2 linked regions of the Coturnix japonica genome follow. The protein of the gene in region 2 purifies or fractionates together with the protein of the main gene of each other region. This does not show direct contact. Links are inferred from orthologs where the notes say so. Each region holds a gene or a part of one and is shown on either strand. Other genes may lie near its edges. The genes, in order: NOD1 and SUGT1.

Region 1 (3,811 bases), on a different chromosome or scaffold from region 2:
CTCTTTGGCAGCTGGCAGCGGCCTTTGAAAGAAGCTTCTTCCACATCCCCGGGGAGCCCTCTGTCAGATAAAGTGAGTCACGGTCTTTCTGAGCAGGAATTCAGCGTCCTTTCATTAAAACAAACGCGTATTTTAAAACATAAATTTCAGGTTCAATAATACAGAAGCAGCAGCGCTAAAAAACAGCACCGCTCTATTGACTCCTGAACTCCCAGAGGTGAGGGAAGGAATGTGGTGCTTGGCACACTGCCCTGCAGCGCACATGCGTGACTGGCTGCTGCCTGCCTAATCTAAAACAAGCAAATCTCACAAAAAAAGTTAATCTCCTCAGAGCTTAGCACTTCTCGTGCGCTTGGAGCACCGCCCAAAGAAAATCCGAGCACAAATAATATGAACCAAATTAGTAATGCTAATTAAATGTAGCCAGCTCCTGCTTGTTGGGATTCAGCTCCTGAGAGGCACGAACGTGTCAAGAAGTTGGAAAATAAATCACGAGAAGCAAAACCTGACTGCAGCTGTGGGCCCAGTTCTGCAGAAACACACGTTCTGCAAGTCGGCGCGTTTAGACAGACGTGAACTAACAGAGCTCCTTGATATCATAACACGCAGGGAAGTGTTCCAGTGACAGAGGCTTTTTGCCTCTTTGAAGCTTGCTGGAACTGCAGCCCCTGCCCTACAGAAACTTGTTCTGTGCTTTTGTTTTTTTAAGGCTAGAAGGTTAATGCCACGTGTTTTAAAGGGAAAGAAAGTTTAAAAAGTAAAGTGAGCCTTTGAGGAGAGGATCTTTACCAGACTTCTTTAATGGCTGTGTTCTCCTTGAGAGCTTCACTGAGGTACTTCACTCCTTTGGCTGTAATTTGATTCTGGATAAGCCTAAAAAGAAAGCACTTCATATCAGCCCAGCACGCAAACTATTTTATAGCACAAGCCCACATGAGCTCAGCTTGATGTCAAGGAGCAAAGCTGTCAGTTTGCAACAGGAAGACAGTTGTGATTTCCATCTCTGAGGAGGGCACACAGTGCTTGTCAGATGCCTACAGATGCACTTTCAGAAGCAGAGCTCAGAGTATCATTCGCTTCCTCCTAAGCTCGCGTGTGGCTGCATTCTGGAGATATTGAGCTGACACTGCTGACACATTTCTGCTGAGAGCTCTTTACTGCTGGTATGAGATTGCAGTGTTGGGGCTCTCTGAGACAGACAGACTGCCCTGGGAAGCGTATCTGCAGCTGCCCATGAAGAAATCAAGCTCTTCCCATCTCCTTTTATTTTCAGGGTGATGGGCACCAGAACTTTTGCTGCTTACAAGAGACCACAAGTACCCAGCTCTCACATAGTCAGTACTTTCCTAAGGGCACAGACTACAATTAGCACAAGTAATACTAACGTGTGATTAGCAAAGGTTTTGTACAAGCTTGTAAAAGGACTCTGTTTATTATGTTCTCTCAATCACTTGGGATGAATGGATGGCTGTTTGTTTCACAGCCCACATCTGCCCAACCCCATTCACAGGCAAATTATTGTGAACCTCTGGATTAGAGCTTCCAGGGCTGTGGTTTCCCAGCAGTTTAACAAGTATCCTTGTGATTGCTTGAAACAAGAATCTGCTTTTGCGGAGATTGGCGTCTCACAGCTAAGCATCCAGTGTCAGTCAAAGTGCCACAGAAGAAAGCACCGGGCAAATGGCAACAGAAGTGTTCAGTGTAGGTTCTTGACTGAAGGATACCAAATGAGCTTGCCACTTTCACAGCATGATGACACACAGTAGGAATCATAACATTACTTTATGCTAGATATCTGCTAGTATTTCTCTGAAATTTACATTTTAGGCCAGTAATGAGCTGCCCCAGAAAAACAAAGGCAGCTGTGCAGTTCAAAAGTTACCAGGACGCACGGCCAGCTTAAAGTTTGCCCTGTAAGAAAGCAGGTTCAAAGCACTAGACAGCAGCTTTATTAACTTTCCATTAAAGCTGTCTACAACCAGTCAGCTGCATCCAGACCATGCACAGAGAGTGTACTGTGACCTACATAGACTTGGAAGGTGAAGCTTTAATGCGGTTACTGCCAAAGAGACTGTGCCTCTGTGGAATGTAACTTACCATAAATGCACCAATTTCTTGTTGATCTTCAGCATCTCTGCAAAACTCATTGCTGCCTCATCATCCAGCTCATTTTTTGTCAGCCTAGGTAGGAGAGAAAACGTTGACTTAAGATGCTATCGTTATTTTTCAGTTTCCTGTTTTTCCAGCTCGTCGGTGACTTCATTTTAGAAAGCCAAAGTGGTGTGTGCTGTTTCTGCCCTGAGCAACCTCTGAAGTCTGGACACACAGACATGCTAAAGAGAAGCCCTGGAGTCAAAAAGGCAACAAGAATGCCAGAGCTTAATTTCTCAGAGCACTGATCTATCTAACGTGGTTTTCTCATAATGTTTGAGTAACTGAAAGCTGCGTGAACTGCACTGGAAAAAGATGGAAAGGCAGATGCAGCACTAAAGGGATACACAAACTGTGAATGATGGGGAAAGTAAGATGGAGGGAGTAGAAATAAGCATGAACCAGAACTGCATGTAGGGACAAGGGGAGCTGTGAAGCTCCAGCTCACTACTGGACACAACAAAAGCAGAGGCAGATGGATTAAATCATTGCTTTCAGGCAGAGGTCTGCAGAGACACTAAGAGACTTCTGCTCCCGTCAGTCAAAACCCAACCAATCTTCCTAAAGTTACATACAGACACACAGAACCCCACATGCACACTGCTTCTGCTGCCAGAGGAGGAACACTCGAAATGCTGAACAGGACCCTGTCAGACGTCTGTGAACAGCACTAAGGAATGCAAGCTGTCCTCAGCTCCCCTGTCACAGCAGGAGAGCAGTGAAGCTGGGCCTGGCCTCACCTAAGCACATTCAGTGGAAACAGGGGGTGTCCTATACCACCATATCAAAACCTACAGGAATGTAAGGAGCCCATTCTACAGACCCAGCTTCCCATGGAAACAAAGGTGTACCAGTGATCCTACAAGCAGGAAAGCTAATCCACTGCTCATCAAAGGATATACCTAGATGATCTCCAGGGGTCCATTCTGATCTTTATGATTCTGTGATCTTACAGCGTGCTGGTAGCAAAAGTGCAGAGGTGGCACGAGGGAAAGAAGGAGGCAGTAAAACTAGGTTGCAGCTTGCTCTGAAGAAGGAAGAGATGGAGAAGCAGCCCACATCATTGATTACCAGAATATTTTCACGGAGTTGTTGTGCTGCAAAGCTTCAGCAATGCTTTTGCCCCCCTCTGTTGTGATGCCATTGAATGCGAGACTGTGAAGCAAACAGACACAAAGGTTTAAAAAGTAGCCAGTGTTGCTTGGCCTTCTCGATACCAAATAATAATGTCTATCTTGGAAGATTCACGTCTCAGCTTTCCAGCTCTGAACTTAGCTGTTTCAAAGGCTCACTTACTTTGCAAATGAATAAGCCCTTCCCACTTACATATGTGAGACCAGTTCACAGGCTGCAGCCTGATGCAGGTCTGTCACACAGACCATAAGGTTTGTGGTCAGCGAGAGCAAACTGACTTTTGGGACTGACAGCAGAGCTGTAGCTGTGATTTTGAAAGCTGTGGCCCTTAGCAAAGTGCTTTGGTGCTTTGCAGTTTATAGGTTTGTATGCTCCTTTGTCATCCCAATTCCCACTACAAACCATGCACTTTTTCCTTTAAGTGAGGTGTTCAGACACTTAAATGCTCCATTCCCCTTCCAAACACAATACCTTCTGTTGTGCAGGGAGATAAAAGCCTGTAAATGCATGTTTTCCATTATAAACC
Region 2 (3,911 bases):
TAAATCATATCCTGAGCATCACATCCAAACACGGCTCTAAACACATCCAGGGATGCGTCAACCACCTCCTGGGGAGCCTAATTCCAGTACCTAACACTTCTGGGTACAGAAGTCTCCTAAATCACAACCTAAACATGCCTGGCGCAACTTGATGGCCATTTCCCTCTCGTTGCACCAGTGAGAAGAGACCCTGCCACTCTTCACTTAAAACCTTTAAGGTACGAATAAGGCGATAATTCCCCTCAGCCCTTTTCCCAACTAAACAGCCCAGCTCCTTAGCCTCTCCTTGAGGTCGATTTTCCAAGCCTTCACGGGAGCCTCGCTGCCTACTGGACCTCTCCTGCACCTCATGTCTTCCTGTGCTAGGTGCCCAAAGCCCCCCTGAAACACAGTACGTCAAGGTGAGGCCCACAATGCCGAGTCCAGTGGCAGGATGACTTCCCTAGTCTGCTTCACCACATTCCTGATACAAGCCAGGATGCCTGATTTATCTACTTATTTTGCTTAATTGTTGACAGGCAATTTAGGCTAAATGTTAATTCAGTTAACCAAATAACACCTGGGTGGCAGGTTATCACCTTCCTACCACAACTGGATTTCAGTGTCTACCAAAAAGAGCATGTAAGGTTGGAAGAGTTTACAACATAAAGCTTAAAATCACCATAAAATCTAACCTGAAAATAATGTTCCAAGACAGTTCTGTGCTAAACTCAAACAGCAACTGGGATTGCAGAGCATCAGATTCGGCTGCAAGTTTTGCAGATATAAAATAATCAAAGATAAGGAAGGCTCTCGAGTACATCCTAACTGCAAACAGCAAACTAAAGTTAACAGCAACACTGTTAAAAGCTAGTCATCTAAACTATAAAGAATTTCAAATACGACCTCTTAAGAGGATTGTCAGTTGCCTGAAGATGTTTCACAGTGTAGTTCTGTAGAAGAATGTGGGCATAAGCTCGTTGACAGTAATATTCGGCATCATCTGGACTCCTTTCCAAAGCTCTTGTCAGTTCTCTGTGAAGAAATCCGAAACCGCACCCTTGGAAGATCCCAATAATCTAAAAATGGACTCTGTCAAGTAAGATGTCAGAAAAAAAATACCCTGGACCAGCTCACTGAAGGACCTAATTGACAGTTTTACCTGAAAGCTAACGCCAACTGAGGCATAAGAACTTGCAGTTACACACGCTATTCCTTGCAGAAAGGGAACATCACAGAATCACAGAAACGGTTGAAGGGACCTCAAGGAACATATTTCCAACCCTCGCCTGGCAGGGCCACCAAACATACAACTTTTAACAGACAAGGTGCCAGGGCGCTCAACCTGTCTGAACCTCCAAGGACGGATCCACAAACCTCCCTGCAGTCTTCCAGGCTAACATCTCCTAGAAAAGAACTTCCCCCTAACATCAATGCCTTAAATAGGAATCTGAATGCTCAGGTAATCCTGTATGTTCCAAAAACCTTCCTATAATTCTCAGCACATCTGAAGGGAAAAAAATACCTCGCTATGAGGGTGAGACAGTAACAGTACGGTTACCATGTTTGCTAACTTTGCTCAATTTCTATTCAGAATTTGGCAAGCATGAGGGTAGCTAAGATATAGACTTTAAGCCTGCACAAATGTTAGCACAACACAGCTGCTAGAACTCACCAAGCCAGAGAAAAAAGGAAAAGTAGCAGGGCCTGTCTGAATTCAGATTGGTATCCTGCTCTCTTTCATTTATATGCTTACACTAGGAACTACGTGGCCACAACAGCTTCTTCCAGTGGCAGCATCAGGTGTACAAAACTCCATAGAAGTACAGCACAAACATCTAAAACCTCAGAGGTCTCTGAAGAAACAGGAGGCAGAAAGAGCTACAACAAAAAGCATCACTAGATCTGACTGTAAAGACATGATTAAGGATACATTCAAGATCAGACATCATTCGTGGTAGACAGATATTCTAGACAAGAGAAGCATGAGGAGACCCAACAGGATCACGGAACACTGAGAAGTGAAGTACAACTTTTGTTTTGAGACACTCCTCCAAACAAACCATACATTACAGCAACTCGAACAGTCAGCCACAGGGCAGCTGACAGGCAATTGTAGGGGTTGGAAGGGACCTCTAGAGATCATCGAGTCCAACCCCCTGCCAAAGCAGGCTCCCTACACCACATCACACAGGTAGGCGTCCAGGTGGGTCTTGAATATCTCCAGAGAAGGAGACTCCACCACCTCCCTGGGCAGCCTGTTCCAGTGCTCCGTCACCCTCACCTCACAAGCTTATGGCTTTATCATCATAGAATCACAGAACGGCCTGGGTTGAAAAGGACCTCAAAAATCATGCAGTTTCAACCCCCCCCGCCATAGGGTTGCAGCCTGTAGACCAGCCTGCCCAGACCCACACCGTTCACTGTTAAAACACAGATAATGAGCAGCCAGTTGTACCAAACCCAAGACCTCAGCCAGGCCCCACACACAGAGGGCAGCACAGCGAACCACCCCCTACACACAGCGATGCGGCATCACCCCTATAAGACCCCCTATAAGCTCCCTCCCACAGCTCTCACCCGCGCCGCCGCCGTCGGATCCCGATCGATGTCCGCGTCCGAGAACCTGCCGAGGAAACACAACGCCGTGAGGAGGCGGGGATGAAGAAGGAGCGGGCAGGGAGGAAGGAGCGGGGTGTTGAGCTGGGTGCTCACCGAGCCGCTGCTTCTGCAGCCGCCGCCATCCCTCCCCCAGGAAACTTCTGGAGCCGCCACAAGGCCGCAACCACCGCGCGTGGCCTGACGGGACCAAGCGGCGCCACAAGCTCCTCCCGCCCACGCCATCGCTACGGAGGCACGCAACCTTCCATAGAGTGTGTGGAGGACTGTCGGGACAGAGCGGCGCGCAAGATGGCGGAAAGCGCGGTGCGCATGCGCTGGGTGTCCGCCATGATGGAAATGGCTGCCTGTCCCCGTCTGAAATAGAAAGTTCTCATTTGAGATGTACCTCACATCACACAGTGCTGACTCATGTACCAGCAGCAGTGCCAGCGCGGCCCAGCTGCAGGGAGAGCTCTGCCAGATAAACCTCCAGCTGGTGGCCAGCCCTTCCCGAAAATGGGATTACAGCTGTGGGTGTTTGCAGGTCAAAACATAACAGCATGGAAGGGCAGGGCATGGAGCCATGCAGTGAGCTAAAGCAAGGCTGCTTAGATGCCAAACTGTGGCTGAGAACTGCTTGTGAGATGGCTTTAATTCATTCCATTCAACTAGACTGAGCTGCTGCCACCTCCAGTGACAGAACATTAGTAGTGAGGTTCACAGAATCACAGAATGACCCGGGTTGGAAGGGACCTCAAGGATCATGTAGTTCCAACCCCCCTGCCTGGCAGGGCCACCAAGCATACACATTTACTAGATCAGGTTGCCCAGGGTCCTGTCCAACCTGGTCTTGAACACCTCTCTGAGCTACACGACATCCCAAGATCACAATGAAACATGGGGCTGTTTATAACATATTAGGAAGTGATAGAAAAGGAGGAGTTGTTGGTTGAGGGGTCTGGAGCACAGGCCTTACGAGGAGCGGCTGAGGGAGCTGGGATTATTCAGCCTGGAGAAGAGGAGGCTCAGGGGAGACCTTATAGCTCCCTATAACTTCCTGAAGGGAGGTTGTAGTGAGCTGGGGGTTGTCCTCTTCTCTCCTGTAATCAGTGATAGAACTAGAGGGAATGGTTTAAGCTGCGCCAGGGGAGATTCAGGCTGGACATTAGGAAGTATTACTTCTCAGGGTAGTCGGGCACTGGAATGCACTGCCCAGGGAGGTGGTAGAGTCACCGACCATGGGAGTGTTCAAGAAATGTTTGGATGTGGTGTTGATGAATATGATTTAGCTGGGAAGTATTGGTAATGGTTGGACTAGATGATCTTCTAGG

The links.
Region 1: the proteins of SUGT1 (region 2) and NOD1 purify together in Homo sapiens (affinity purification with western blotting; 3 studies listed by BioGRID and IntAct, with this or other methods). This does not show direct contact. The link is inferred for Coturnix japonica from reciprocal best matches to the Homo sapiens genes SUGT1 and NOD1.

Annotation. Positions count from the first base shown.
Region 1 is NC_029517.1:37,980,901-37,984,711, reverse strand, and holds part of NOD1 (nucleotide-binding oligomerization domain-containing protein 1), read right to left. Parts: intron 3,307-3,811; coding exon 3,223-3,306; exon of another isoform or gene 3,054-3,222; intron 2,182-3,053; coding exon 2,098-2,181; intron 874-2,097; coding exon 790-873; intron 1-789. UniProt on the Homo sapiens protein: Pattern recognition receptor (PRR) that detects bacterial peptidoglycan fragments and other danger signals and thus participates in both innate and adaptive immune responses.
Region 2 is NC_029516.1:148,385,272-148,389,182, forward strand, and holds the start of SUGT1 (protein SGT1 homolog), read right to left. Parts: upstream 2,825-3,911; 5' UTR 2,724-2,824; coding exon 2,695-2,723; intron 2,606-2,694; coding exon 2,560-2,605; intron 1,014-2,559; coding exon 924-1,013; intron 1-923. UniProt on the Homo sapiens protein: May play a role in ubiquitination and subsequent proteasomal degradation of target proteins.